4 linked regions of the Oreochromis niloticus genome follow. The protein of the gene in region 4 purifies or fractionates together with the protein of the main gene of each other region. This does not show direct contact. Links are inferred from orthologs where the notes say so. Each region holds a gene or a part of one and is shown on either strand. Other genes may lie near its edges. The genes, in order: paxip1, ncoa6, pagr1 and kmt2cb.

Evidence for each region.
Region 1: the proteins of kmt2cb (region 4) and paxip1 purify together in Homo sapiens (affinity purification with mass spectrometry; 4 studies listed by BioGRID and IntAct, with this or other methods). This does not show direct contact. The link is inferred for Oreochromis niloticus from reciprocal best matches to the Homo sapiens genes KMT2C and PAXIP1.
Region 2: the proteins of kmt2cb (region 4) and ncoa6 purify together in Homo sapiens (co-immunoprecipitation; 7 studies listed by BioGRID and IntAct, with this or other methods). This does not show direct contact. The link is inferred for Oreochromis niloticus from reciprocal best matches to the Homo sapiens genes KMT2C and NCOA6.
Region 3: the proteins of kmt2cb (region 4) and pagr1 purify together in Homo sapiens (affinity purification with mass spectrometry; 3 studies listed by BioGRID and IntAct, with this or other methods). This does not show direct contact. The link is inferred for Oreochromis niloticus from reciprocal best matches to the Homo sapiens genes KMT2C and PAGR1.

The regions. Positions count from the first base shown.
Region 1 is NC_031982.2:752,014-760,097, reverse strand, and holds the start of paxip1 (PAX-interacting protein 1), read left to right. Parts: upstream 1-4,856; 5' UTR 4,857-4,982; coding exon 4,983-5,063; intron 5,064-8,084.
Region 2 is NC_031984.2:16,681,382-16,689,608, forward strand, and holds the start of ncoa6 (nuclear receptor coactivator 6), read right to left. Parts: upstream 3,142-8,227; 5' UTR 3,012-3,141; intron 1-3,011. Other genes in the region: ggt7 (glutathione hydrolase 7), read right to left, coding at 5,757-5,929, 7,595-7,694, 7,800-7,937, 8,032-8,146. UniProt on the Homo sapiens protein: Nuclear receptor coactivator that directly binds nuclear receptors and stimulates the transcriptional activities in a hormone-dependent fashion. Coactivates expression in an agonist- and AF2-dependent manner.
Region 3 is NC_031973.2:16,564,751-16,572,346, forward strand, and holds the start of pagr1 (PAXIP1-associated glutamate-rich protein 1), read left to right. Parts: upstream 1-4,550; 5' UTR 4,551-4,786; intron 4,787-5,031; 5' UTR 5,032-5,063; coding exon 5,064-5,235; intron 5,236-6,841; coding exon 6,842-7,178; intron 7,179-7,265; coding exon 7,266-7,354; intron 7,355-7,445; coding exon 7,446-7,596. Other genes in the region: kinesin-like protein KIF22, read right to left, coding at 1-69, 290-410, 890-1,286, 1,705-1,914, 3,028-3,179, 3,364-3,491, 3,599-3,786. UniProt on the Homo sapiens protein: Its association with the histone methyltransferase MLL2/MLL3 complex is suggesting a role in epigenetic transcriptional activation. However, in association with PAXIP1/PTIP is proposed to function at least in part independently of the MLL2/MLL3 complex.
Region 4 is NC_031982.2:16,677,727-16,685,991, reverse strand, and holds the start of kmt2cb (histone-lysine N-methyltransferase 2C), read right to left. Parts: upstream 3,167-8,265; 5' UTR 3,147-3,166; intron 2,394-3,146; exon of another isoform or gene 1,615-2,393; intron 1-1,614. UniProt on the Homo sapiens protein: Histone methyltransferase that catalyzes methyl group transfer from S-adenosyl-L-methionine to the epsilon-amino group of 'Lys-4' of histone H3 (H3K4).

The sequences.
Region 1 (8,084 bases), about 16 Mb from region 4:
GATGCACTGCAGGTACTCCTTGACCTAGCCCCGTCAGAGCAGCATGAGCTCTAGACCCTCACCATAGCACTCGAGAGGCGATTCGGGCAGCGGCACTCCACTGATCAGAGCAGAGAGCAGCTGACCAACCGGAGCCGTCGGCCGGGGGAGAGCCTGGGCACCTTTGCAGCGGACGTGTTGCTGCATGCTCGTCGTGGCTACCCAGAGTTCCCAGCAGCAGCCCGTGAGGAGCTTAGCCTGCATGCTTTTCTGCGAGGACTTTTTCCAGAGCGACTACGTCAACACGTCCGCCTGGCCATGCCTCAAATTCTCCGTGAGGCGCTCCTTGAGGCTGAGAGGGCCGAGCTGGTGTTCACCTCGCAACCTAACCAGCAGGTGCCCCCCCAAACTGCCCCCAAATCAGAGTCGCAGACTGCGACGGGGAGGGGAGGTCGTCGAGATATGCCAGTTGCAACCCTCGGTGCCCCGGAGGCGTCCCCGTCGACCGACCGACCGCTGCTACCAGTGCGATGAGCCTGGCCACGTGGCGCGTGACTGCCCAGCACCTGCCCCGAAGACCAGGACTACGCAGCCTCAGGGAAACAGGGAGGGAGCGGTGTAGTGAGGGGACCACCGCTCCAGCTTCCTGCCCCCCTCCAAGGACGATGCACGGTGGTGGGCCGAGTTGGGCACCTCAAGTGACTCTACCTGAGCTGCTGTGTTGAGGACCTGCCATGCCAGGCCCTGGTGGACACGGGGTCCACCATTTCCCTGATACGACCTGGCGTGCTCCCTGGAACGTCCGGGCCATTGGTGAAGGGTTGGTCGCCCACCGACACCCAGCTGATGACGGTGACGGGTGAGAGGGCTGATATGCGGGGGAAGAAACCGTTGCGGGTCCGAGTGAAGGACCTGGAGCTGGTGCACGACTTCTGGCTTGCTGACATTCAAGACCAGTGCATCATCGGCCTTGATCTGCTGACCCGCTGGGGGGCCTGCGTCAACACCGCAAAGCGGGATATCACTCTTGGCACAGAGACTCTTGCCCTCCAGTGCGGTCAAAAGCAGCGAGCGGAGGGAACCCGAGCCAGACGAGACAGGCGTCGGGCGGCTGCCGCTCAGCAGATTTCGGGTGCCGGTGGCTCCGGGTCATCTCTACGCACCTCAGCCCCGGCCTCTCAGCCCAACAAATCTCCCTCGACCGAGACAACCGAGGCTGTTGGTGACCTGTGGCAGCGCAGCAGCGTAGGTCTCAACGTTGACCAGTGCCAGCGGTTGAGGTGCCTCCTGGACGAGAATGTGGACATCTGTGCCGCCAGTGACAAAGACTGCAGGCAGATGGGCCTGGTCCAGCACACCATCGACACAGGCTCTGCTCAACCCATCCGTCTGCGCCCACACCGGCTGCCCCTCTCCAAACGGCAGGTGGCACAGGAAAAGATCCATGAGATGGCTGCGGCTGGGGTGATCGAGCCGTCCAACAGCCCATGGGCGGCACCCGTGGTCCTGGTGGGGAAGAAGGATGGCAGCCCGAGGTTCTGCGTGGATTTTCGCCGTCTCAATGCAGTCACCGAGAAGGACTCGTACCCGCTTCCACGGATCGACGAGGCCCTGGATTACGTTACCGGCTCCAGCTGGTTCAGCTCCCTCGACCTACGCAGCAGCTACTGGCAGGTGGAGCTAGCCCCCGAAGCAAGGCCTAAGACTGCATTCACCATTGGACAGGGGCTGTGGCAGTTCAGGGTCATGCCATTTGGGCTCTGCAATGCGCCAGCGACGTTTGAGAGGCTGATGGAGAGGGTGCTCGTGAACATCCCTCGTAGCCGCTGTGTTGTGTACCTGGATGACCTGTTGGTGCACGGTGGCGACTTCGACAGTGCACTGTCTCACCTGAGCGAGGTCTTCAGCGCCATCCGTTGAGCTGGGCTGCGGCTCAACCCTGCGAAGTGCCAGCTGTTGGCGAGAGAGACTACGTTCTTGGGCCATGTGATCAGCGCTCAAAGTATCGCCACCGATTCCGCAAAGGTGGCTGCGGTCTGGGACTGGCCGACTCCCTCGAACGTCAAAGAACTGCGGAGCTTCCTGGGCCTAGCCTCCTACTGCCGTCGGTTCATCAAGGGGTTCGCGACGATAGCCAGCCCCCTCCACCACCTGACTGACAAGGGCCAGCCGTTTGGCTGGGGTGATGCCTGTGCTGCGGCTTTTGCACAGCTGAAGGAGGCCCTCACCAGAGCCCCAGTTCTGGCCTACCCCGACGCCCGGCAACCTTTCATTGTGGACACTGACACTAGCAATGTAGGAGTCGGGGCGGTCCTTTCCCAGCAGGGCGAGGCCGGAGAACGAGTGGTGGCATACTTCAGCCGTGCTCTGGGGCGAGCCGAGAGGAACTACTGCGTGACCCGGCGGGAGCTGCTGGCCGTAGTGCTAGCGGTGCGGCACTTCTGGCCATAACTGCACAGTTGCCGGTTCCTCCTGCGCACTGACCATGCATCTCTGACCTGGCTCCTGAACTTCAAACACCCAGAAGGTCAGGTGGCCCGCTGGCTGGAGGTCCTTCAGGGCTACGACTTCGAGATCCAGCATCGGGCAGGTCGGCAGCATGGCAACGCTGATGCCCTCTCCAGACGGCCCTGCATGGCCGTTGAGTGCCGCTACTGTCTGCGACAGGAGGAGCGGGCTCAGGAGGCCCTGGGGGTGGCTACTGCTCAGGCCACAGCCAGCGGAGGGGGTGGCTCCCACTGACAACGCAGCAGCTGAAGCGGGAGCAGGAGGCCGACGCGACGTTGGGTCAGGTGGGGGCCTGGCTGGAGGCGGCGCAACGCCCAGACTGGATGGGGGTGTCGGGTCAGGAGCCCGAGGTGAAGGCCTACTACTCCCAGCACAACAACCTGGAGACCCACGACGGCCTCCTGTACCAGAGATGGCGGGCCCCCGGTCAGGGCAGAGATCTCCTGCAGCTGTTGGTGCCTCAGTCGCTGCGGTGGCAGGTGCTTGAGCTTGTCCACGGCTCGGTGGGGGCAGGCCACTATGGGAACGCCAAAACTCTCCGCCGCCTCAGGGGACGGTTCTACTGGCCTGGCTGTCGACGGGATGTGGAACTTCACGTGCACTGCTGTGACACCTGCACGGCGCAGAAGGGCCCCACTCAACGCTCCACTGCCCCCCTTCAGCAGTACTTGGTGGGGGCCCCGATGGAGCGAGTGGGAGTGGACGTCCTAGGGCCTTTCCCCGTCACGGAGTCAGGGAACCGGTACGTGCTGGTGGCGATGGACTATTTCACAAAGTGGCCGGAGGCCTACGCGGTGCCGGACCAGAGTGCGACGACGACGGCAGAGAGGCTGGTGGAGGAGATGTTCGCCCGTTTTGGGGTCCCGGCTGAGCTCCACAGTGACCAGGGGCGCAACTTCGAATCGAAGGTGTTCGGGGAGATTTGCCGGTGGCTGGGGGTGGAGAAGACAAGAACCACACCGCTCCACCCGCAAAGCGACGGCTTGGTTGAGCGTTTTAACCGCACACTGGCTACCCAGCTCGCCATTTTCACCAGCCGCCACCAGCGGGATTGGGACCGACATCTGCCCCTGGTCCTTTGGTCGTATCGGACTGTGGTTCAGGAGTCCAGCCAGTGCACGCCTGCCGCTTTGATGTTTGGGCGGGAGCTCCGGACGCCTGTGGATCTGGTGTTTGGGTCCCCCCCGAGCCGGAGATTGACGGTGGGCCAGAGATGGACTACTACAGGAGGCTGAGGGAGCGGCTGCAGGTGGTTCACGACTATACCCGCCAGGCCCAGGCCAGCGCCGGAGTACGACAGAAAAGGGCCTACAACACCAAGTGCCGGGGGGAGGCTTTTGTGCCTGGCGACAAGGTTTGGGTGTACTGCCCGGTTCGCAAGAGAGGAGTGTCCCCAAACTGTGCAGTCACTGGCAAGGGCCGGCGGAGGTCGTGGAGCGGCTAACGGAAGTGGTGTACCGTATCCGCATGCCGGGCCCGGGCGCATGGTGGTGTTGCACCGGGACAGGCTTTCACCGTACCGACCGCTCGCTCCGGCAGACGCCGGGGCAGGGGATGCTGGTGACACCCCAGGTTCTGATCTGAGTGACTTGCGCCAGAAGAAGGCACCCGGACACTTACAGGACTTTGTGTGGGGTAATGGGGCTGTTGGGGACGACTGACCCCTTAGGTGGGGGCTATGTAGCAGGCCAGGGCTGTTCGGGGTTTGTTCTGTTATTACAGTTATGTGTTTGTTGTCATGTTGTTATGGTGACGAGTGACCGCTCTCTCGGCACTGTGTTTCCGGTGAGAGAGCGCCTTTTTTTGTTGTTTATGTTGTTGCCGCGCTGAGGAGGGTGGTAGCGGCAGTGTTCTGGGCCGGTTATAAAATAAACGGGTGCTCCCAAATACACCTTTGTCTCCTTCGTGACTGAGCTCGCCACAATATTTATATCAATATTTTTGATATGACAGTTTATTCTGTTGGTAGTATTAAATATAGGATGAAATGAATGCTTTTATTTGGTTCTCAACGGCTTTCCACGGTCAGGCTTTTTTGTGTGTGTGTTTGTCGTTTTTCGAAGCATTCTATTGCATTTGTCCTAAAGTCAACCCAGCTCAGTCTGTTTGAGATAATCTGGTTTCACGTTTAGATCAAAACAATAACCTTTACGTCACAGGGGGGTTATGTGTCTATTTGAAAACATATTTGTAAATTCCCGTCGCCGTTATTCTGTTATATGAGTTCTTTTACCCCAGTAATATTTACGATAAATTACATTTAGCGATGCAATGTTTAGAGAGATATAAAAACCAAAGCGACTGAATACAGAAGTGTTGATTTGCGACAGACCCCCCTCAGCAAGCACATAATGCTGCAGTCCAAGGCGCGCTAAGCGATTTGGCGCTAGTGTGTGTCCGGTGTTCTGTAATCAGCTGCTGCAGCGCAGGCACTTTACACTTTGAGCTTCTGGCTGTTTTTGAATCATACAGTGCCGCGACCTTCATGGCCAGTCATGTCTGAAGAAGAGATCAAGGTTTCCGATGAGCTTTTCAAAGATGTCAAATTCTACGTGGTTGGGGATATTGATCAAAAGGTGAGGTTCTGGACGTTAGCAGCTTTAGCCAAGTTGGTAGCCTGTGCTAACTAGCTAGAGTCATTGACTGTAAAGCAGGTGATGCAAGAGAAGCTAAGTAGTAGCTAAGTATTTGAGCTGTCTTTAGCTGACCTCTGTGAGCCCACGTAACGGTGCTTGAGACTTTCAAGTGACGCTCGCTCACTGAATACTTTGTGCAGAAGCTCCTTCAAACTGCACTTTCACGCAGCCCTTTAGCACTAGCTGCGAGTTTTGCATGTTAGCTGCTAGCTTCTAGCTTGCGGTTTGTGAGGCTCAGGCTTGCTGTTGCCGCTTGTTAGCATTTTTTTTCTAAACGATTAGCCTCAGTAATATTGCTTGGCACTTTTGATAAGCAGTGAAACGCTGCACTGCCAGTGTATTGTGTTACTTTTCATCAACCTATGACTGTCAGCATCTTCCTCTGTTATTCGCCCATTACTGCGCATGTGTCCGCAATTCCACTCGTTGGTACTGAACACCTGTGGTAAAGAGCTGTCCTTCCTGTCAAATGGCACTATCCAGACGCTTTGAATCTGCACCGAGAACAAACAATACAATTATCTTTTACGGTCTTCTCATGGATTGATGTCTTATTGGGATTGCTCCAAGCAAAACCTCACATTCTAAAATCTAGTGGGTCGTGTTGAAGTCTGGCTGCGGTTAAAGGCTCAGTTACACTTATTCAGAGCAGAGAGGTGTGGTGGACAGTGCCGTGTCTTCCTTTAGAATGAAGTTGTGCACGGTAGGAGAGATAAAAAATTTATCAAAAAAAGTATTTCAGTTTTTCTTATATCAGTATCATTCACTGAAAAATTACAGTAACCAGCTCCGTCTTTGTTTATTATGGCACACAGGTAATAATTGTAATATTATTATCAAACATGTTAATATTAACACTAGATTTGGGTGGAGCACAGGGCTTCTCATCTTTTTCATTTCTTAAATGATCGGTTGTTAGTGCTTCATGCAGTCCATGTTAAGGGATGTGACAGACCAATTTTCAGCCAGTGCGAAGGGGCTTTAATTAGAGCTGGGCGATATAAGATTTTTTCATATCACGATATGTTTTTTTCATTTCAGGCGATAACGATATATATCACGATATAAGCCAAATAACTATATTTGTAAGATTTAAATGTGCCGTTGCTCACAAGTAAAATGTGAAATAATTAGCAGCTTGTTTTAATTAAAATATTTATTTCCCATAATAAGTTCAACAGGGTAGATGTACTTAAGGAACATGAGACTTCAGTTTCAGATAAAGGCAAATATTGTAAACTACACAAAAGGCAGCCGCTAAAGCGTTTAAGTTTCAAAATAGAACAAACAAAACAGACCACTAAATTGTCGATTCCACTTAGAAACAAAATTTTAATTCTAAAAATAAATCTTAGGTCGTTTTACAGAAGAACAGACAAAATTGACTAACTTTTGTCAATATCAAATAAACTGAGAACTAAAAGGAAATTCTCAGGCTACGTCCACACGTACACAGGTATTTTTGAAAACGGAGATTTTCCGTTTTCGTTTTAAAAAATAATCCCGTCCACACGTAAACGCAGAAATGAAGGAAAACACTGCTAGGAACATGCCAAAGCAACAGGTGGCGATATATTCCTAACCGTGTAGAAATGTTGGCCAATCAGAAGTCTAGAAGCCTCGGTAGGAAATAGTAAACAAAGATGGGGCATAGAAACAGAACCGAGTCGTATGTGTGGAGGGACAGTAACTATGTGTGTATATGTAAGCATTTAAACACTGCAGAGAGTACAATTAACAGTAACAGTATTGTAGAAATTCATTTCACCCAAACAATAACGTGGCGCACAGTGTGACGTCAAAAAAGGCGCACACCTTTGACGCTGCGTTTTCTCCGTTTTTCTTGTCCACACGTAAATGCAAAAACGGAGTTTTCGAAAATATCCACCCTGGCAGGCGTTTTTAGAAATCTCCGTTTTCAGTGACTGAAAACGCCGTTTACGTGTGGACGAAAGGTGCAAACGCATAGAAAAATCTGCGTTTTCAAAAATACCCGGGTACGTGTGGACGTAGCATCAATCTCTCCTTGTTGTACAGCTTAGCTTTTCAAACAGTTTTAACAGTTACTTTAGTCTGACAAAAGCCGAATGACGAATTAGCGCTTTCAGTCAGAGACTGAGCATGCACCGCTTTATTGTATTTCCAGACTTGCTTTCGGCACAATTTACAGTGCGCGCTACTCTGTTTTTTGTCAGACTTGAAATAGCCGAAATACCTTCACACTACGGAACTTCTGTGGCCCTTCCGTTCGACAAGCTCTCCAGCATTGGAACTATCATCTGTTTTTTCTTCGGTAACCTTCGCTCACGCTCTCGGTTGATTTTTCTCTAGTCGGCAAACTCATTTCCTTCATTACCTGGGCGGCCCGGCTGCAAAAACAAATACACATGTGCGCCTTGGCGCTTGTGCTGTACGTAACAAGTCATGTGACGTGACGCTGCGGCTGTGATTGGTTCGGCTCTGCGCTACTTAATTTGGATTGGCTGTTCTTTTCTTTTTTTTTTAAGAGGACAAGAGAGATGAGGTCTATCGCAATAGTTTAATTTTTCTATCGAGAAAAAGTTATTTCGCAATACATATCGTTATCGTTTTATCGCCCAGCTCTAGCTTTAATGGCGGTTTAGTCTTGAAGATTGCATTGAACAAATATATTTTTGCACATATTTACAGTCACGATAATATGCTGACATTTACACCCTAAACCAGCAAGGTTTTTGGTCTGCCAGCAACAGATCTGACACTGCTGTCTCTTAAGGGATCATGTCCAAGATCAGAATGTGTGGAAATAGTTCCAGTGATAAAAATAGGCATCAAGATATAAATGAAATGTGTCAAATCTTTGATGCAAAGTTTAATTGAAGCGTTACAGCCTTTGAAATCCACTAGTCACAATTTTGTTTGTCAGGGATGGGCCTTCTTAGATAAGTGCTCACACTGCCAGATAGTTGCCACAGGCGTCAG
Region 2 (8,227 bases), on a different chromosome or scaffold from region 4:
TATTGCGATAGACCTCATCTCTCTTGTCCTCTTAAAAAAAAAAAGAAAAAAAGAACAGCCAATCCAAATTAAGTAGCTCAGAGCCGAACCAATCACAGCCACAGCGTCACGTCACGTGACTTGTTACGTGCAGCACAAGTGTCAAGGCGCACATGTGTATTTGTTTGGGAAGCAGCCAGCCGGGCTGCCTGGGTAATGGAGGAAATGAGTGTGCCGACTAGAGAAAAATCAACCGAGAGCGTGACCAAAGGTTACCAAAGAAAAAACCGATGATGGTTCCAATGCTGGAGAGCTTGTCGAACAGAATGGCCACAGAAGTTCCGTAGTGTGAAGGTATTTCGGCTATTTCAAGTCTGACAAAAAACAGAGTAGCCCGCACTGTAAATTGTGCCGAAAGCAAGTCTGGAAATACAATAAAGCGGTGCATGCTCAATCTCTGGCTGAAAGCGCTAATTCGTCATTCGGCTTTTGTCAGACTAAAGTAACTGTTAAAACTGTTTGAAAAGCTAAGCTATACAACAAGGAGAGATTGAGAATTTCCTTTTAGTTCTCAGTTTATTTGATATTGACAAAAGTTAGTCAATTTTGTCTGTTCTTCTGTAAAACAAACTAAGATTTATTTTCTAGAATTAAAATTTTGTTTCTAAGTGGAATTGACAATTTAGTAGTCTGTTTTGTTTGTTCTATTTTGAAACTTAAACGCTTTAGCGGCTGCCTTTTGTGTAGTTTGCAATATTTGCCTTTATTTATCTGAAACTGAAGTCTCATGTTCCTTAAGTACATCTACCCTGTTGAACTTATTATGGGAAATAAATATTTAAATTAAAACAAGCTGCTAATTATTTCACATTTTACTTGTGAGCAACGGCACATTTAAATCTTACAAATGTAGTTATTTGGCTTATATCGTGATATATATCGTTATCGCCTGAAATGAAAAAAACATATCGTGATATGAAAAAATCTTATATCACCCAGCTCTACAAGCAGCCTGTTGCAAAAACATCATTTGTTCCCATGCCTTTGAGGTGAAACAAAAAAGATGTGTCCTTAAAAAGGTGAGGTACAACAGAAATGACAGTCCTAAACTAAACTACATAATGCAAAAGAAGAGTACAATTCTTAAGGAAAAAAGGCAGAGGTATGCCAAATTACACATGAAATGGACCAAAAACCAGAGTGATGAACTTACAGAGTGATGAACTGAAATTTGAAAGTTCTGCAGAGCTCTGGAGCGCAACTGTGACCAATTTGGTCACACATGTGACCTAATTTCAAAATGGTGTGACTAAAAAAAACATCCTAGGTCGCACCGGTGCAACCAGCCATTCGAGTAAAAGAAAAAAAAGTCTCAGAGTGGTCAACAACAGACACACATTATGCCCAGATCGTGGTCTAAACCAATCACAGATAGTCAAGGGCAGGACCTCTCTGATTGCCCGTGGTCCCGATATTCCTGTAAGCTTACATGTGTGTACGTTTGAAAGTGCAGGCAGATAGAGAGAGGCAAGTAGCCTAGGCTGATAGAAGTGGATGTAGAAAAGATGAAAAGAACGACTGATAACTTTTTCGTTAAGTTAAGGCATGATCTGTCTGAAATTCATAGCCAGTGCTCTGACATGGAGCCATCAACATCTCAGGTTATGTCTAATACTGGTCCGGAGACAGCATCAGATAATGAGCCACATATGATCAACTCCGAGCCAGAGCCCACTGAAAGTTTCCTGGCTAAGATACAGTAAAGCTGACAACATGATGCACTGCATTTACTTTTGTGAGTGTGGAAAGACCATGGCCGGCAATACTGCATTTGTGACTGGTGCTAATACGTTTCGAATTGATCAAGAAGGCCAAATTACAGTAGTTGGCCATCTGAGGGGCATGTGACAGCAATGGAGCATAGTCCATAAGATATCAAGCTGTTCTTTTGTGCTTGTGCACCTAAGAAAAGAAGTTAGGTGCACCAGTGCAAGCGTGGCAAAAGGTTAGTCTGTGTCAAATGCCAGATAATGTATGAGAGAAGTCAGAGAGAGAAAAAGTACCCACAACCATCTGTAAAACACAGTGGAAACTCTGTCTTGGTTTGGGGCGACATTGGAGAAAAGCACCAGATTTTCATCCACTATACAGTAGCACGGTGGCATGATTGTTAGGCCTGTTCCATAGAACTATTCCTAAAGGCTACTTAAGGAAATGACTTGAATAAAAGAAAGCTTGCCTAAGAGTTTACGCTGTGTTCAAGAATAAAGATGGTCATATCAAATGTTGACTTTCAAGTTTGTTAGAATTGTACAAACTCTGCTTTTACCTCATATACTGTATATTTCCGCAAGTTTAACTAAATTTCTGCATCATTTTCCAAGCAAACTGAACAGAAATAAGTAGTGGCTCAAGACAATGGCACAGTACAGCAAGTATGTAAATGGCCATCACTGCAAATCATACGTTAACACACCTGTAATACAATGACGTCACTTTGACCGGTGATGGTGAACTTATTATCGAAGACATGTCAAATAACAGAAAATTGCTCTGTAAGAGGCAGGGTTATTTAAAGTGCAGCTTAATTTACATTACTGCCAATTAAAGTCTTACAACACATACATTTACTGCCATGAACCGTAACTTGCTTTACAACAACGGCCCAGCAGTAGCACGGGCCTTAGCGCAAACATAAGCTAACGTAAAGCGATCAAAATCCCCAGGGCGACCACATATTCCCCCTATCCTATGCTGCTGTGCATTTTCTTGCCCTCTTGAGAACACTTAATAGCCGAAAGTAACACGGTTTTCACCACACTATGAAAGAGGATAAATTAACGTCAAGGCTGTCCCCCCTGGCTTCTCCAGAGGCTCCAGTTCGCGATCGTTAGCTACGTTAGCTGGATAGCACAGAAGGTAATTCAGCATGAATGCATTGAAACGCAATGCATTAGCTTTCCAATTCGCTAAGTTTAGCTTACAACATATTATGATAAGTAAAATAGGCCTAAGAAAAGCAAAAGCCTTACCACATATATTCATCTGAAAATAAGTTGAAGCAGTCGGCATCTGCTTGCTAGATTAGCTAACAAAACATGAATCAAATACAGTGTAAATTTACAGCCAAGTTACAACTTCCGGCGATGATTTTCAAAATAAAAACCGAGGAAGTAACGTTTTTTGTAATAAAAGTAACTGAAGTAAATAAAAAAAAATTACATAATTCTAAAATTTTAATAATAACAATAATAATAATAATAATAATTATTATTATTATTATTTCATAATTCGTTTTTGTAAAATAGCAGCTGAATAATTTTAAAAGGTAGTGGGGTTGTCACATTGCTAGTTACTACCACTTTAGAAAGCATTATGGAATTCTGTCAGTATCACACATTTGACCTGACAGTCCATTTTGGAGTGGTCAGTTTGTGGGAAAAACACACAACTTTGAGTAGAGAAAGTATTTTGTAATTTTCACGGGTATGACTAATGTTTATTGTTGTTTTTGTATTAATAGATCACATAATATTAGTAATTAAAAACTAGACCCCATATACCATTTGCTACTGATTTTAAGTTCAGGTCTTGTGTAATTTGACATCCCTAAACATTTTCTCTCCATTTCCCTTCCTTAATGATTTCTTGACAGAAACACTGAAACCATTTGCAATGATGCTTCAGTAGATGTATTAACTGCAGGAATAGATGCATCTGTCAGGTCTTGTGTCAGCTCTTTAGTGGATTTCTTTTCTCTTTTTGTTAAGGACACGTCTTTGAGATACTCTTTATCTGGGGTACGTAGTTTTCTCAGCCTGGCACTTCTTCTGTCCTCCACTTGTCCAGTTTACTCAATTTATTTTAAGGATACACTCCACACACTCTGGGAATCACCTTGTTAAATGTGAAAATACAATTTTATGCCAATCAATCTGCTATATTTTGCATTTTTCATAGTCAGTTAAAGATACAATTAAAAATCCTTTGCTAAGGTTTTTGTTGTTTGAATGATTCACAGGTCAGTGTCAAATGATTTAACTGAGAAAAACAGATTCCTCAGAAAACTGTGAGTTAAAAAGATAGGAACGAAAATGTGTGGTAACGTTCAAAGAAAAACTTTGAAAAGTCTTCAAAAACCCTGGAGAACTACTGCTCAAGATCACTTTTTAAAAATTACAAAAAAAAAAAAAATCTGACAGAAATAGGTGGTGGCTCAAGTGTTTTGCTCAGTGTATGAAGGCTCAAAAAGAGATAAACAATCCTTAATGTTTAGGATGTGTGCAAACATTTTATTTGTTGGGTCTGAACAGTGCTGATTTTTGTTAAAATCAGCAAACATGAACAAACAAAGAAACAAAGAGGCAGGTGCAACATCAGACTGTGCAAATGTGTGCCTTAAGGCATGGTACTCTGCAGTACTGGAAACAAGCATCAACAGTCATATTGCACTGGTGAGGGAGAAAACAAGGTGAAAACCCCAATTTGATTAGTCAGCACTGGCCATTCTGGATGCAAAGATCAAACACATTTTGTGTTCAAGTGCAATGATTTACAAAAGTTGCTGGCTCCTGAAATATTCTAGCTAATATAACAACAAAAGTAGGCAAAAAGTAAACAGAACATCCCTTCCTAAATATGTGCCGAGTGAATGCAATGCTCCAACAGTAGAAATAATGTGTACAGCACAACAAATGTTCATATAAAAATAGTCATTACATTCATTCCATCTCTAAAGAATTTGATTAATCCAAATTTAGGAACAAGTGTACCAGCTCTAAAAAAAAAAGAAAAAAAGCCTTCACAGGTTCAAAGTGAGAACAAAATCATGCAACAACTCAAATGTCTTAAATTATGTATTTAAATACGTTCACTCTACAGTAACTGATATTTAAAACCTTTTAAACGGAATCATATCCACTTGATGAGGGAAATTGATTGAGATAGGACGGTCTCATCACATTTGTGTACGACATATAATGCGTTTGCTAGTCTTAAAAATGGTCCAGAGAGTCACTGTTTGTTTGCAACAGTTAAAGCTGCAGCAGCTGTACCAAACAACATCTAATCACAGTTACACACCATATAACGAGCAGGAGAGTAAAAGCTTTAGCCTCTGTGTTCAGTTCAGGACAGTCTTGTTCATGTGTGACAATACACGGCTTAATCACTGGTGTAAATACTATCACCTTCACCACTCCATTTGATCTCACACGCGATCTGGTTTAATGGTGAAATGTAGTGCAAGAGATGAAAAGCAATCCGGTGACTCATATGCACTTTGCACCATGCATGTGCTGTTTAAATGGTGACTTCATGGCATCATTACTTTTGTTAATTTACATAAAACCTCTCGCTCAGGTCTAAACTAGCTGCTACACCCAATAATTTCTAACCTTTAAAGATTACAGTTTTCACCACCGACCTGGAGTGTGTTGGATAATAAGTTATGAGCACACCTAACATTTCTTTACCCTGCTCTGCATAATGCAGGCTGCAGACTGATGCCACTAAGGGTAAGGGTACTGAACACACATTTTCAACACTATGTACACCGTGACTGGACGTTACATGAGGATGTGGTAGAGTAATTGATATGCAAGATGGTGACCATTTTAGTATTCTTGTGAGCAAAACAAATTAGCTATCCAGGATCCCTTTCAGAATCTTTTGGTTATCTTTATCTGATCAGCAGCCTCCTCACTCTCTCTTTAGGCGTCATACAGAGTAAGTCTTACTATCTTGGCATTATATGTTTGTACGATTGGACGGATGCACTAAGGCATATTGGACATAGTAAGGGCAGAGGCATCAGCACTACGGGGGTCCTTCACTCCAATGATGAGGTCATTAGTTCTCCGTGTGCCCTCCACCAATGACAAAATATCTCTTTTCTCAACTATGTGACCTTTGGCTTCCAGCCCCTCCACATCCTCTTCTAAAAACTTGGCTGCAAGAGAGAAAGAGAAAGTGTGAGACAGAAGATGGTACTAACATAATGTTGAGCTAATAAAAACAGTAGCTGTGGGATCACAGTGTGGTTAAACTCTAACTGTACAAGGACCTAGTATATCAGGTTTGTAACCAAGCATGTGTTTTCTGGCTTTTGACTTATGACACAGATTCAAGGGCAAGATTAAGACAAGGTAGAAGGCAGCAGAGGCTCTGATTGAGCCAATGATCATCACTCTGCTGCTCATCTACCAGTCAATAAGCTCTGGTAGCTAAGAGATGGACCATTAATTCAACCATATGATAATTCATGATTCTACATTAGGATACCTTTGGATTAATACCAATAGATTCAGGCTACCTAGATTAGCTGGACACATTTTTCTTTTGTACTTTAGTGAACTGATTGGAGCCAAATATTGGGGTTTTTTTCACAAATATTTTTAAAAAATTTTTGTAGATTAGTTGGATCTATCTAGAAGCTTTCAGTTAGTAGTTTACCCCTCTTGTTAATATCAACAGAGCCAGAGGACAATAAAGTGTATTTCTAATAAACCAGATAATTCATCTGTCTGTTTTTTGTAACACAGTATTCATCTTCACAATTTTCCCAGGCAATCATAGATGTAGAGCTGCCAAGCTTTCTTCTTTTCTAAGAGCCCATGCACTAAGTTGCTAGATTACATGGACAGCCAGCAGAAGGTGTGTACACTGTGGTCATAACAGTTACCAACAATACTTAGGTAAGCTGAGACATTTAAATGAGGCTTAATTCTTACTAAGTGGCCCAAAGTGTGGCGAGAAAATATCCACTACATCTTTACACCACCAGGACCAGATCCATGAATTCATGTTGCCAAAGTATGACTCTGTTGTCTAAATGCTGCAGCACAAATCAAGACTCATCAGACTCATCAGAGCAGGCAATGCTTTTCTTCTGTAGTCCAACAAATTTCCCACGTGTGGGACTAATAAAGGTTATCTTATCTTATCTTAGTATCTGTTAGTCTATGTATAACTAATAAAGTGGCTACTGATTCAATATTATTATTCATAAATCCTGGACGTAACACAAAATTCTCGTGGGATTTCCACATATGAAATTAAGATTTAGGGGGTGGGTGTGGCTCAGGTCGTCCACTGATTGGAAGGTTGGTGGTTTGATCACCGGCCAAGCTGCTCTCCATGGATCAGTCTGAGTGTGAGGGTGTGTGCAAATGCAAGACAAAGCGCTTTAAGGCATAGAATGAAAGCGCTGTGTATGTGTGTGTGACTGAAAGAATTAGGCGTGTAGTAAAAACCACTTTGAGTGCTCAGTTAGAGAAGTGCTATATAAGTACCAGTCCAGTCCATTTATGCTACATCCTACTAAAACTACAGAAGACTGATCTTTTAACTAAGACACTTTACTGTTCCATGGAAACACTAAACCTTGGCATCTGCTTTCCATGACAGCAGAAGTACCTGCTGCTTTTCCTGCTCCTCCTCTACTTTGCATAGTGTACACAGAGAACACAACCTGAAGACAAAATAAGCAGTGGTACAAGGGTCCTACATGTCTCTTTGCATGGTGTTTACTGCATGTCATAGCAGTAATCATGAACCAACACTGTTATGCTTGGATCAAACCTGATAAAAGTGTCTATCAGTAAGAAAAACTCACAGTCCACTAGGAGGGTGTTGGGCTCCAGCTGCGGGTGGAGTCTTCCATATGCTAAACTGTCACTCATGTTTTTACGTGAAGACAAAACATTCATCAGCACCTATGAAGGATGAGAATAACATCAAAGTAAACTTCTGTCAACGTGTATTTCCACACTGATGAAAATAACTACGATAGTTACAAATTCCTCCAGTAATTAAGCAACCTGTGTTATGCCACTGAGAGCCTTCTCTCCATTGGATGATCCAACAGCTACGTATGTGCCACATAACCCCACGGCTGGCCTCACTGCTGTGGGCATCAAGAAGGACATGGGTCTTTTCCCAGGGTGGAGGTTGTTATGCTACACCAACCAAAAGAAAACAACATCCATGAGAGATTCTGCAAATGTGTTAAGAACAAATACATTAACACTGAAACAAAAAAGTTGCAATTACTGGGTTAGGCGATGAGCCCTGTGTTTTATTAGTCCATGAGAAGTCCAGAATCTGACTATTCAAAAGGATTCCTGAAGGAGTCACTATCCCACTGCCAAAGGGTTTGTTTAACGAACTAAAACAGACAGAAGTCTTAATTTGCATTATTCATGAATTTTAATCAACTCTTAAACATCTTTAGGATTTGCTTAAATCC
Region 3 (7,596 bases), on a different chromosome or scaffold from region 4:
TTGTCCTGGGAGCTCATCGTTCTCTTCTCCAAAGCTATTAGTCTACCCATCAGTGACTGGTCTGACGAACTGAAGAGGCAGACAAACAAATCATATCAGACAAAGAGAGGCTGAAAAATGGGGCAGACAGTACGATCGGGGCTTTGAAACAAGTCAGGTATCAAAAAGTCATGTTTACAGGCATTCCAGACACACCTACACACAACAGCATTTTTCTCCGTCACAAAGCCTTTCAATTCAGTCAGACATCATAATACAAGCCAAACAAATAATCAGTCTGGTCTATAACCTGTGGTTACGTGTAGAGGGCGAGGAACCATCGTGTTCGGATTTCTTCTCCTCTTTATGCTTCTTCTTCTGTGGCTCAGTGCCAGACCCCCCTGTCTCTCGTTCCTCTCTGGACCGCTTCACTGAAGACGAAGGCAGATGGAAAATTAACAGTTTAGTATTCAGTGCACTGTAGCAACGGTGTCTGTGGGGGCTCTCTAGAGTGTAAAGCAACTCAGACAAAAATGGCACAGCATCAGTCAAAGTTGCATTGCAGTGCTTGAATTAAAGCCAACAGCAGCAGGTAAACATGAGGACCATCTTTGAGAGAATGCAGTAGGAAAGAGAACATCAGAACGGCAAAAATGCAAGTGGAGCACCAGTTTTACAAAAAAACAAAAATAAGCATCCATCTGACCCAAACTGCTGGGTCAGATGGATGCTTACTGTTAGCTGTTTACTGTTAGCCACCATCCTCTGGGATGTGACATGGGTGCCCCCTGTTGGCCTTTGGCTCAAATCGTGACAAGACTCTTCCTCTTTCCCAATAAAAATGCCTTTTTATACTTTAGTGTCCCATGACTGAAAAAAGTGGGTGCTTTTCTCACCCAGTTTCACTCACCTGGCAGCACAGGCACAGCCACAGTTTCACGGGTGAAGGGTTTGTTCACAATGAGCTTGGATTTGGCCGCAAAGTTGAGTGCACTGAAGGTGTCAAAATAATATTTGTACTCTGGTGCAATATTGGTGATCATGACGGAGTGTGCCGAGCCTCCCAGAGAGTCCTGCAGAAGCCGTGTCAGTTTACTGTCCCTGTACGGCACGCGCACCGAAGTGCCTGAGTTTAGAGAGTCCACAACTTTGCTGAGTGTGAAGAGAGACAGGTTGATGGCACCGCTCTCCTTCAGACGGATGCCCTGGTTGCCGGTGCGGCGGTTGTCCTCTGAGCCAGCCAAATCGACCAAGTACAGTTTGCCTGTCTGTTGTCTGTGGGGAAGTTGCTGCTGAGTCCGCACAACCTATGTCATTGCAGAGATTAAGAACAGAAAAGCAGCAGCGGCACAGAAGTCAGGCAAGAAAAACAAGGAGGTGGTGAAGAGTCATGGGGTGAAAGGAGAAGAAAAAGAAAAAAAAAAAAAAAAAAAAAAAAAAAAAAGAGGATTACATTTTATGAAAAAGCATGACAATAAAGGGAAAAAACAACGAATAAATGAAGAAAAAGGACAGCAGATAATGGTTTGTGTTTCTCTCCCATAGTAATCCCAGGAAGCACAGAAGTTGCTAGTGGGACTGTTGCAAAAGAGAATTGATTTCAGCACCAGCTACCAAATCCTGGCCTACTGCTCAGAGACCACGACCTGCTTAAGATGCTGTCTGGCTGTCCATTTGACACTAACGAATAAAGTAGTTCAATAAACTACACCAAGACCATCAAACCTTAATGAGAAGGATAGCGTGGCTGCGGCTGGAACGCTGGTTTAGCTTAGTAGAAGCTGTAGTACGGTTGAGCGTCGCAGGGACAAAGTGTTTGTCAAAATCTGCGAAGTTGGTGATGTTCATATGTGTCAGGCCAGGGATAAGGATGTTCTTGTCTTTGTCCTCTCTGATGGGTAAATCATGGGAGTTTGGCGACAGAAGATCAAGCACCTGAGAGAACAAGAAAGGAAAGCGGTAATTGATGAATGATGCACACTAAAAGAAAAAAGGTACATTTAAAGGTTCAGAGGACATGCTGTGGAAAATGCAGTTAGAAGCTTTTGCAGTAAATTCAAGAAGACTGGAGGTTAAAAAGCTATGTGCACCCCCCTTGTTTTATTAAATCATGCTGAGGGCCAGTGATCTGAAACTGAATGGGTAGGCTGAAGATGTTTTCACACATGAAATTTTAGGTAAACCAATTCAGATATTTTCCACATTTGTTCATTTTGACATGTAGCGCAACAGGAAATAAGTCTGCTTCAAAAGGTTTCATACTACCGAGATGTAGTGGATGGTGTCTACAAAAGGGAACTGCATGAATATAGCAGGTAAGAGCTGTCCAATCTGACACTGTTTTTTTTATTAGAGAGCTGGCAGGTTAAAGGCTGGCTAACATCCCATCCGACTGCGTCAGATATCTGCATTCTCACATACAGCTCTGCTGGGTGGGGCCAAGACTACCCTGCATGTGCCAAAACATCTTAGTTTGGACTACACCATCTGCATAATAATATTGTTGGCTTAAATTTGCAGAATTAAGGGAGTCAGTTTTTGGTCAATATAAAATCTTCTATGGGTATTAATAGAATTTCTAGAGAATTATCCATTAGAAACGGAAATATTTCCACTTTTAAAATGAACATAAAGGCAGTTTTATTTTCAATACAGGGTTTTAATCAGGTATTAAAGATTGACCACACTACAAGTTTCACTTGCTAAAGTGACATAACAGGGAAATTCATAGAGTTCTGTCAATTAAGGTAACCAAGATTCAATACCTCGGCTGTTTGGAGACATTTGAGGCTATTTTACAACCTTTGGAACAAGTAAGTACCAAAAGTTCATTTGATCCATTTAAATCTAGAAAAAAACAAAAACACAACAACCACGAATCCCCCCCCGCGCTCTATAATGCTAAAAAACGCAGAAACACACTTCTTAAAAGTAAAGACAATGTTTTCTAACACCTCAACTTGAACGACCACCATCTAGATTACTTTACTTAATCATGAACAGAAAGTCACAAGTAATTGTACGCTGTGTCTACTTAAACAACCATACCTTCTCATTGTAAATTTCCAAATACGACATGCCAATGCTGTAGTCCCATCCATCACTCTCATCCTTGGCTTTCACTAGCTTGAAGACCTCACGAACAGCTCGGGGAATCACACCCGGCTGCTCTGAACTCCCCAGCATAGTGTGGGTCTTACCTGTGAAAGAGGATGCAAAAGCCTAGAGTTAGAAAATGGTCTCTTTGGGGAGCCAAAATATCTATAAACAAAATGAGAAAAATCATTGTGACCTCTCTCAAGTCTTAACAGCTTAATTTATAAATGCATGTGCACAGCTAATATACACGTTTCTTGAAACCCTGTAGACTGTGCTTCAACATACCAGCTCCTGTTGGTCCATAAGCAAACACACTGGCATTCTGTCCGTTCAAGATGTGCGGCAGAATGGGCTTCACTGATGAGAGGAAAACTTCTTGCTGTGTCGTTTGTTCACCATGAAAAACGTCGAAGCTAAAAACAACAACAACCACAGCTCTCTTAATATTTACAGCTAGACAATCACTGAAATCTTTACCGACATACATATATACATAACAGATTATTATGAAGGCACTGACTGGTATTTAACAGTTTCTGTGGCGTTCCTCCAGTTGATTATCTCCAGGTTTTGAGAGTCCAGGCCTCTTACACACGGTCCCTCGCTTTTCTCGTCTTCTTTGTTCATATAGGGTCGCAGACGAACAGCTACGCGGACCCTGGATGTCTTCTTGTTTCCTCCATCTGATACCGCCACACGCGTCGCCATTATTGCGCTTCCACAAAGAAAGGCCCGAATAAAGTACAAAAAAAATACAAATAAGCTAACTAGTTAGCCACGAACGTGCTTGAAAAAGACAGTTTGTTTATAACAGCACTGCATGAAAACGCATGCCACTCAAATGAAACCTCTCCCGATAAGCTGTGTTTTCCTTACTGACGAAAGCCTCTCTCGGCTAATAACAAGCTAAAGCTGGATAGCTCAGTCATAACTTCCCTCGCGAACGGATGCTTCTCGCCTGGCTAATAATAGTCCCAAAGCCAAAGCCTGCTATATGCTTACCGATATTATGTGAGAATGTCCGAGACAAGCCACACCTTTGTTATGCCCTAAATTGTCCTTCCAGCAACATTTCGGACGCTTGGTTTTAACAATGGCGACCGCGTCCCTTAAAAACTTGAGGAACTAACCGAACACTTTTTCAAATGCAGAGCGCAGAAACCGGAAACGGCCGTAAACCAATCAGAACTCGCACAAATACTGGCGCCTGTTTTACGTCATGCGTCCATATTAATGAGATTTGTGGCTCTTCTGATTACATTTGTCAAGTTTACGCTACACAAACGTACATATACGCACGCTTTAAAAACAACAAGAACAACATGAACAGAAAAGCAAAGGACGCTAATACAAATTTCGCCCTGTCTGCCCTAAGACCTGCTCGCGCTTGCGCAGTGTGCAGGAAGTCGCGTCGAGCGTAGATCTCCAAACCATTCCCCTCTACTGCTGGAGTGTCCGCTCGTAGTGAGTGTGGATTATCCACATGACGTTGTATCAACAGTGAGGTGAAGCTCCCCCCGCCCCAGCGGTGCAGAGGCTCAGGCAGATCCCTACAGCCAAAATGGCGCTATGTTTACGTCTGTGCATAAGCGTTTGTTATACTTAGTGACTCTCATGGGGAGTTTTTACTGGAAAAGTATTTGACTCAACGTTTTAATCGCTTTCACAGCAGCACTGATCCGGAAGAAGCCGTTAATGACGATTTAAGGCACGTATGTTATTAGCAGACTAACTACTGTTTAAGAAATAGCTGGCGGTTAGGCCTGACGTTAGCTAGCCGCTTGTTTTAGTTGACTATACGTTCACTTATCCTTTAACAAAAGTAAACAGCTACGGCTAAAAGTTATAGCCTCTAAAAAATCCTCTTATCCCACACACTTGTGTATACCTTAAGTTAGTTTCAGCTGCACTAAAATGTTTTCTAGATCTAAATGGCAGGCTTCTGTTCAGCAGATCTGTTGCGAGAAACTTCACCAGCAGGAAGCATGCAAGCTGAGGCCACAGACACCTCACTGAAAGAGGGCATAGAGGTTCTGAACATGAAGGACTCAGAGGAAGCTGCAGAGGGCAAAGAGGACGAGGACAGCACGGAGCAACCGGATACGGAGATGGCAGGGAGCGCAGAGGAGGACGACGCAACAGCCAAGGAGGATACAGGTACAGTACACGTGTAAAGATAGATGCATGCATGGCAGGTGTAGTGAAAGGACGCACAGTAGACAGGAAGTTTCATTATCAGGTTAAAAGTCTTCAGTGTGGACAAGCATGTCCTGTACAGGTAACTAGTGTGAGTAGGAAGTATCACCAAGGACAAATGCACAAGTGTCATGCAGGAGTGTGCAGGAAATACAAGGAAGCAAAGCACAGCTGAAACACGGTCAGTTATCTACCGGTTTATTAGTAGGTACTTACCTTGTCGGCTTCCTAAGTCTTTACATTTTAACAAATTGGCACAAAAGGCAAAATGAGTGAATATATCCACCCATTTTCTTAAATGCTTATTCACCCAGTGTCTGGCGTGGGTGTGGTGCTGGAGTTGGCATTGGTGTGGTACACCCTGAGCCAGTTCTTTGTATGAAAGTTAAAAAGAAAAAGCAAACAGACTGCTGGGACTAGATATAAGCTGTGAGCACCAGTGTTGTGTCCAAAAGTGATTTCTGATGTTTCTGTTTTTAACTGTAATGTATTTGCTCATATATATATATATATATATATATATATATATATATATATATATATATATATATGGTATATAGACTGTAGTCAACTGGATTTATGATGGGGATGTATATTTAAAGTACAGAAATTAAGTATCTTTTTGAGTCTGCGTCATTATACCTAGATTATCCAATCTAGAGCACTTTAAAAAGCAACATAGTCGTCCAAACTGTTTTCCAGGGTTAAAAGACGGCAATAAAATGCAAAAACCATCTATTGAACAAAACAAAAACAAAAAAACATTACAAAATATTAATATTATAATCAATCCAATTGTGAACTTTAAGAAAGTTGGAGGTCTTTTAATTAAAAAAAAATGTAAGTTAAAAAATAGTTTCTATGAAACTATTCAGTAAAGCCAGAATTGCTCAGTATCTGATTCAGCCTTCATTAGAAAAGTCTGTGTTGTTCTGTGCCCTGATGTACTTGATCACTTCAAGTCTTTTGGCTATTTTATCACTTGCAGCAGAGAATATATTACACACGAGAGAAATGTTGGCTCCTGCCATCAATAAATGTCACCACTGATTTCCAATAGTTTTGCTATTTGCACCCCGATGCCCATCAGTGGGTCTGATGTTGATGTTTTGTTGACATATCAGTCCGTCCCTACGTACAGCTTGTCACAGAGAAGTCAAAGCAGTGTGTTTGAAAGATGTTTAAATTGGACCTATTATGTATTGCTTTCTGTCATACATACAGTACTTTTAGCAGTGCTGATTGCTCCTATTAAACATGGCTAAACTTTCACATATTGAGGTCAGTGTATGTACAAGTAATCCCCTTCAAAAGTCCAGCCTACAATCTACACATGGATCTGTCAGTGGAAGCCAATATTCTTTATGTGGTCGCCTCACACATCAGCCACACGACCTGCTGTTCCGACCTTTTGAGGGGCAGCCAATCAAAACAAAAGCACGTAGCTCTAAACTAAGGGGGAGGAGCTACATCAAAGCCAGGTATAGGGTTAATCCACAATAAAATGTCGCTTCATTATTGTTTTTAAAAGAGATTTTAAACTGACTGTGTACGTGTTTTTTCTCAGATGGGAACACAGATGCAGTGGGAGGAAAGGCGCAGCAGGATGAATCTCAGGCAGACGCAGGGGTGGAGGCTGAAGATGGAAAACAGAAAGCCGAAGAGGCGGACGGTGACTGGGAGCTTCCGTACAGCGACGAGGAAATGGAGGACCCCAAAAACTGGGTGCCTCCTCCCGCAGAGATCAAAAGACTCTATGAGCTCCTCGCTAAAGGGGAGATGCTGGAATTGAACTTTGTGCCCCTTCCTAGAAGGCCCCCCACGCCTGAACAGACCTCCTCGCCCGAAAGAGACGAAGAGGAGGAGGCAGCCAAGGAACGGGAGAGGCAGGAGAGGGAACGCAAGTCAGTGTTGCTTTTCCTTTTGGTCATTTCAGGATTAAGGAGTTTGGTTTGAGTGCTTTTGGTTGTTAACCATGTTTTGTTTTTCAGGCCTCCAACTCCAACTGAGTTTGACTTTGATGAGGAGCAAATGCAAACCACTCCAAAAAATGCCTTCCTAAGCCGACGCAGGACTCCAGGTATGTCACAATCAATTATATGTGGTGTCTCTTTATAATCTGGAGGGTTTTTTTCTTTTATTAATAATGATTTTTGCCTGTTGTCTCCCAGGATCTTCTGCCCGCTCCTCTGTTAGAAGGGAAGCTCGGCTGGACAAAGTATTGTCAGACATGAAGCGACACCGCAAGATTGAGGAGCACATCATGCGCACAGGAAGAGATCTCTTCAAGAGTGACAAGAAGCTGGAGGAAGCCCTTTCTCC
Region 4 (8,265 bases):
CATCAAACACTTTTGGTCAGTTTTTTTATTTATTTTTGAAATAAGCATCGCACAGACAGAAAATGTGCACAATTTTGCGACACATACTAAATAATAAAAGCAAACTCATTCCAAACTGCAGACCCATAGTCCTTTGGTCAGTAAAGCATAAAATTGTGTCTCATCAATCCCCATTATGTGCAGTAACAGCACTCCACATCTATATAATAATGTCCATGAGGATACATGCAGTTCCAGATTTAATACATGCGATCATAATAAACTGTGCTACATTAAACCTTTTTAAATTCAGTGCCATCCATGCACTAAACACCGCAGACAGTGTGGTCAGAAATGGCTTAAATTATTAGTTAGGCTTTTTCAGTGACTCAGAAGAGATCTCACTTTGACAAACACCACCTTTCGCTGCTAGTCTGTGGCAATTCAACATCTTTCTATCAATTATATTGATTTCAACAGCCTTTAAGACGTCGTCCAACACCAAAACTGAACACAAAATACAAACCCTCTATAATAATGTTGAGACTGCACAAACCCCAAGTTAGGAATGTTACCTCTGAGATAAAAAACCTGAAGACATTGTCTCTTTAAACACTGTAGGATCCGATAAGAAGTCGTCGGATAAGGAGCATTTTTGTACAACAAGCAAAGGCTCAAAGGTGACGAGAACTTTACTTGGGGCATCTGAGGTTAAGATCCGGTAACTACAAGGCAGTCACGACCACCACGGGAGCAGCTGAAAACATGCTAACGTTAGCTTTTGTTGACCGAAGCTTGGGCACAAAGCAGCTGCATCCAGCTAACGACTGCTAGCTTGTTGTGCTCAACTCTGTCGCCTTTTCTTCGTCGACCACAGACAAAAGTAACGTTGACGTCGACTAAATTTAACAGAAATTGGAAAAATAAACGAAGCCATTTATCATTGTTAACAACCGAAAGAGGACTGTACTTGGCTTTAGAGCCATTATCCCGTAAGACAACTTTGAAAGAGAGGGCCATCTATAGCAAACAGGTTACCTATGGTTGCAGTTAGTTGTCCAACTCATACTTGCAACTAACGCCTACGCCAAAACAGTGAAAAACGCTTCACCTCTTTGTTTTCCCAATCCTAGTGTTAAACATGTCCATGGCTCATAGAAAACTTGTCGAGCGACCTTAAAAAACACTACCCCTCCTAATAGCCAGCTTCAAACCGGGTGCAAGGCAAAGGGGAGCATTTGAGCCCAACACACACACACAAAGGCTCGGTCTATTCAATGAAACGGAACTATTCTAGGGAACTACAATGATGCACAAAAAGTGAAAACGATACGTTACACAACCACCCAGGTTCTGGTTTCTTTCTCTTTTAGCTTCCAACTAACGATAGCCGTGTGTTTTCGCACTGAATAGTGCAGTAAATGCGTTAATATTTGCTTATATGGCACCCATGAAATGTTCAATTGAATGTTCCGTTCCGTTGAATAGTCTGAGTCATGAAAGCCAAGGCGGCGACAAACCCCCAACATCAGACTGGAGAAGGATAAGGTTGGCTCAGCCTTACGTGAAAAGGTAAATTCCCAACAAACTCAGCTTACATTGAAGGAAAAGGCCAAAGAGGCAAATATAGCTTACCTTCCAGCCCTATGAATAGAGAGTTATCCTCTTCATGTCCAAAATAAGGGGGATGAAACGTCGCACTTATCACCCAGCTAGCTAGCAAGCTAATGGAGCTAGCTAGCCTCTCTCCAATGAAGCAACACCGCAGTTCTCAAAAATGCACAACGCATATCATTATATTCCAGCGCTGCAATGTTATTCCCAACTTTGCCCATTTGATGGAGAAGCGGATGATGTAAATCCAACAGAAAACCGCTTCATTGGCACACGCATCTGCGGGGATCACTTTCCTTTCTCCAATGACAGCTGTCGTCGCACGAGTTCGGCTTATATAGCTAGTTGGTGTTAGCCACCCAAGTCGACAGCCAATAATTTTACCATTAACGTGTAAACATAACGACCTCGAAATCCAAGCGGCTGCTAAAGTCAATGCTCCGTGAGCCAAACTTTAAGTAGGAATCCTCGGGTAAAGTGTAGCGACCCGCAAAGCAACAGAAAAAAAAAAGCTGGATGCCGACCGCTGGGGGTTGGCAACTGGTTCTATTTTCTTCAGCTGCGACAAGCTGCGGGACCAAGCGGCCAGTTTAGGAGAGACTCACAGTCATCCTGCCACGCAGTAACAACCGCCTCCAAAAGACATGTAAAAACAAACATTAGCTTGCCAAAAACAACATCTCGCCTGCCGCGCTGACCGAGCTGCAAAATGATTATGAAATAGCACAAAATTAAGTTGAAGATGACGCTTCGGGGCGCTCTGTAACGGTGGCCATATCTAATGATAAGTGGCACCGAAGCACAGCCCCCCCTCTCCAGGCTCCTCAAAAACTAGATCCGCCTCCTCCTCCCCCCGAACAGCACAACTACGGGCACAAATCTTTCAGAATCGACGGGGCTCGCCGAGAAAGGGATGTTTCGCGAGTGTGAGGCGTGTTTAAAAAGACCGATTAGAAGACGCAACGAGAAATAGCAGATAAACCGTTTTACAATTTCTTCAAAATACTCTCTGACCCTGCGGAGGGATATAAGCATTTAGTAAATAAAATAATGGCTAGGGAGGGCCCGAAAAGATGGAGCCTGGAGTTTTTTCCGTTTTGGAGTTGGAGCTGTTAGAAACCATTGGTGCTTGAGCTCATGCAAATCTTTGCCAGCTGTAGCTATAGAGAATCCAACAGTCGGAAGGCTTCCTCATAGCCGGGGGAAAATACACAAAAAATGGATTAACTTTAATACGCCATGGAGCTGGTGGTTTAGGCTGAATGCGAATGTACCTCAGCTGCTCCCATACGACGGCGTCTCTACTCCTGCTTTACACCCCCTACACACACACATACACACGCCCAGTATACAGATTTAAGCGTTGCATTATGTGTTAGATAAAGGTACTCAACAAACCGGCCGACCCACCGTACATTCAGGGGTTAACTTTCGGAAAAGACCCCAGGGGTCGGCTTTCAGCGGCTGTAGATAATATGTAATAGAGGCAGAGAATGTTGTGTCTCTGGTTAGATTTTGCTTTCGATTTTAAGGCTCACTTAACTACAACTTACCAGAGTTTCTTCGAGTGAAGCCCCTCAGAAAATTAACTGGAAATAAACGCAGCCCTATTCCTTTAAATGGTAAACCTTGGCACCTCCTTCCTAAACTGAGAGCTCCCCCTGCTGGCTAATCTAAAGTGTTTATTATTATTGTTATTGTTATTATTATTATCATTATTATTATTATGATTATTATTATTGTTGGTAGCAATCATTTCGACATAGTTCAAATAAATCGCGCATTAAAAAATGTGGCAAATGAAAGCAAGCACTCGGAAAATCAGAGAAATATAATGACTGTAGAGGCTTTTAAGGTGTGTATAAGGCAGATATGTGCAGTTGTATTTGCAGTAATTAACTCTTAACTCCACTGATCATCAGTGGGAGTATCTGCATGTTAGACAAGCCACCATCACTGGTATCAACACACCAAATGAGGGAGTGTGCTTTGTAAGAATGGTTTTCGTCCTTACAGTAGAATTACAGAGACAATGCAAAGCAGCACAGAAACTGTTTTCCAGGGCTTCTCCTTTACATAATCACTCATTAGTTTGTTTACTCTCAATAGTGAGCTCTGGGCTACAGAGTCAGAAATCTAGAATAATTTGTCTAACAGCACAATAGAGGTTGTGTATTATAATCCGTGTGTGTTATCACATATGCAAGAGACAGCCAAACAGGCAACCTAAAAGCATGGAATCTGATAATGCTAACAATACATCAAGCAAATATAAACGAGAACAAAGGGCAGGGAGGACTAACCTGAACATCTACAATACAGGCAAAATACAAATGGGAAGTTAGATGTGATGTGCATTTAAGATAGGTGATAGGTTTGTAGTGGTCAATATATGGACATATGGACATTGAGAAGCCCTGCCTTCAAATACAGTCTGAATTTCCAAGCACTGAAATGATCACTCTGAAGAATATGCTAGTTTTAATGATGTGATGCGTCATTTTTAAATGTGCCATTAACTCATTTATAATAAAGTTTTTGTCTGTTGATCCATTGAGTAGGATGGACCTTTGGCTGCAGGATAGGGAAAAAAAGAAGCAGTTGCCAGTCAGATGCTTTCCAGATGGTACTGCACAGTGGATCAAAATCCGATGGCACTTTTATTCATTATTCTAACAACTTTTACAGGAGCCCCTGCACCCCTGGCTGAAATTCAGGCTCCTTGTTATACAGTTGGCTGTAGACACTCACTGTTGTACCTCTCTCCTGATCTCCTCCATATATATTTGATGATAATTTGAGTCAGAAATGTTTAATTTGCTTTTATCACTCTGTTGCCACTGATTTAAGTCCAGTTCTTGTGTAATTTTGCATACCCTGTTCTTCTCTCCCTGTTCCTTAACAACTACCCTTCAATTTCTGAGGCTTCAGTGAATAGATAGATGCATCTCTCAGGCCCTGTGTCAGGTCTATGCTGGATTTGTCCTCGTTTCTTAACAATATGAATTTCAGATACTGTTTTTCTGCTGTAGAGTTTGTTTGTTTGTTTTAGGTCTGCCACTTCTTCTTCTGTCCTCGTCTTGTTCTTTTTCCTCAAATTTTTTGAAGAACACACTGCACACCATACAGACATATCCCAACCCTTTGGCAAGTCGTCTTTGAGGATTTTGCTTAATTCAACAAAAGTAATAAACAAAATATGTGTTTTTATGTCAGGCTGCTAGGAACAAAGTGTTGAAAGATACAATTTATAATGACTCTTTGGAAAGTTAACATTCAACCCTTGAGTTAGATGCCTTTTTTTTTTACACTTGAATGATTCATAGGTGAGTTTTAAGTGCTGTAACAAACAATAACATTGTTCTGGGCTGGAAGTGAGTGAAAACATTGACTGACCTTCAGAAAATTTACAAGAAAGTTTTGCTCCTTGGAAGTAAAACAAAGAAATGATGGGTTTCTCATGACCTTTTGCTTATACACATATATTTATTCAGGACTGCACAGTGGCAGGGTGTTAGTTCAGGGTTTATCTCCATCTTTCTGTGTGGAGTTTGGATGTTCTCCCTGCATTTTTGTAGGTTCTCACCAGGTAATCTGGCTTCCTCCCACAGTCCAAAAATATGCAGTTAGTGGAATTAGGTTAATTGGTGATTCTAAATTGCCCATAGATGTGAGTGGGAATGGTTGTCTGTGTCTTTGTGTTAGCCCTGTGATAAACTCGTGACCTATACCAGGTGTACCCTGCCTCTATGGTAGCTGGGACAGGCTCCAGCCCCCTCCAACCCTGAATTGAATAAATGGAAGAAAATGGACTGATGGAAGTGTATGTTTTCAGCTTTAATTCACAGGGTTTAACAAACCTTTTGCATTAACTGGTTAGGAATTAGAGACATTTTTATATGTAGTTCTTCATTTTCAAAAGGCTCAAAAGTAATTGGACAAACTAACATAATTTTAAGTATAAGAAAAAAAATCATTTTATTTAATAAGTCCCTGAGGTCCAGAACCCATGAAAATCACCAAATGTTGTGCTTCCTCCCATGAGATGCTAGAGCATAATCTTTCCTGCAGCTGCCTTCAGTTTCTGTGCGATTGTGGGTCTTTCTGCCTTTAGTTTTGTGACTGAAAAGCTGTTCTGAGATCAGGTGACGCACTTGGCCATTGAAGAAGATCGTATTTCTTTGCCTCAAGAAACTTTTTTTTTTTTTTTTTTTTTGCAGCATTCTTTGAGTGATTATGCATTTGCACTGTGAAGCATTGCCCACTCTTTTCCAGCATTTGGCTGACTCTGAGCAGTGAGTATAGCCCTGTGCATTTCACAATTCATCCTTCACAACTTAACCATCATCAATAAACACTAGTGACCCGGCTCCACTGGCAGGCATACATGGCCGTGCCCTAACATTTCCCCCAACACGTTTGACAGATGGGACACAAACGTGCTACACTTTGGATCATTTGAACTTTTCCTTTTCTTCTCCGTAATTACTGGGTACTACATGATCTTAGTTTCATCTGTTCAAAGAATTTGTAAGTTTTTTTCCAGAACTGGAAAGGTGTTGCTGAGACAGCTTAACTTGATATATATTGGACCAGGTTTTGTGAAGTCAAATTTCTGGTCAGCAGTATTTCCTGACAGCACGTAAGGATGAGACACGACACTCATCGGTATCGCTTTCTAAAATGTGACCTTTGTGTGGGTGTACGTTCACACCGTTAACCACCCATTGACCTAATTACCTTGAAAACACAAAGCTCCTGTTTAGCGTTGCATCGCTGATACTCCTGTTGGCCTAATTCCTTCATTTACAAACTCAACACTGACTGATCCACAGAGACTCAAGACTGTAATTACTAGAGCGACTCTGTACTTAATACTGATTTAAAACGACTGTTTTCGTATGCAATGAAAGCAATAATGACAGTAACATCATGTTTTATACTGGAAGTGAATTTAAATTTAAAGAGATCACACAGCTTTTGTCAAAAATCATCCTTCTGGCCAACATATAGCTTGACTCATTATACCACTAAAAGTACATGCATTTTTAGTATGACAAACACTGGCTATGTTTCAGTGTAACTGTGTGCCAGCGCAAACAAAAGCAGCACCCCCAAACCACTGATTTTTTTATTTACACCTGTGGTTATTTCTGCCACGTGTCAAAACCTCTTCCATAAAAATCCCTGATGTAATAAACAAGCAAGCCTTTCAGCTCTTTCAATGTCAAATAAAACACAAAAACCTCTTTAATATTTGTTGCTCTATACACACCAGCCACTTACACAGTGAGGAATCCTGCTTTACCACCATATGAGATATATAAACTATTCTTTAAGATTTAACAAGCATGTAATTTAATTTGCAAAGCTTAGACATGGTGGAAATGCTCCAAAAAGCTCATTAGTGTGGGATAAAGAAGTATTTTGGTATGTTGCAGACAGAGGGCAGCATGGCTCTACTGTTTCACACAACACTGGAAACAGGAACAGGATCAAATTGCTCTCTGTAATTCAACATGAAAAATGCAACCTGTCTGTTTTATTTCTACCAATACAATATATTTTACATTTTCTTTTCTTTTTTTTGCTATTGTTTATCAATTTATTCAAATAGTACCTAGTTTATAGTGTTTAATAAGGAGCATCCTGCCTATTAATGTAAAGTAATATTAGTAAAAAGAGATAATTAAATGTGCTCAAAGACAAACATTTGTGTGCAGTCTTCATAAAGATTTGTTTCTCGTCAGGTAACCGATGGCAAGGTGAAGCATTCAAACTCAGTTTGTCTTCATGCACATTTCCTCATCTTGCAATATAATTCAGTGTACATTTATGCTGTAGGTTTATATAATTATTAGCAGATAAATGTGCTTTAATACAATAAGTCACATCAGCAAAACAAAGCATAATTTCATGGCGAATGGATAAATGCTCAAGGAGCTCTTTTCTGGTTGTTGAGCTTAATTGGTGCCCTTTGGCTATCAGCATTAAGGACTAATTTTCAAGAGAATACTGTGACTGTAAGATAGAATAGGCTTTTTTTTAGGCTATTCAGCCATCACATTGCTAGCCTTGCAAGTCATCATTTGGGTATAAAGTGTTGCAGTGGATTTTTTTTATGTTGTTCCTGCAAAATAATTGCCTGTTTATGTTGGCTGCTGTTTTCAATATAGATGCTATACGTGCAGTTTACAGACCATTGCATGCAAACTGTTATGTGTCATGAGCTACCATGTAGGACAACCCGTATGTATATAAAACACACCATTACTGAGAAATATAGTTGACATAGACTCAGCAATATATATAAAAAAAACAAACAGGCCAACATTATCTGCGAAAATGTTTAAAAAGAAGCAGATCGTTATTTTTGCTGCTGCAACTAGAAAAAAACACTGCTGATAATATCAGTATTTCAGATAACAACCATCCTGCTTTTCAGTTTTATCCTGTATTTCTTTTAGGAGTCTTTTAGAAACAAAGCACCAGTGCTGCCTAAGGTAGAGCAGGAGGCAGCTGCAGAGTAAAAGGACAGACAGCTACCAGGTGAGCAGATGGATCATATTAATATAATAGAAGAGAGAAGAAACATGAAACCGAATGCTGGCTGAGCTCTTTCTCTGCAGAAGAACAGCTATTGTTGAATCGAACCCACAATAGTTCACTGCG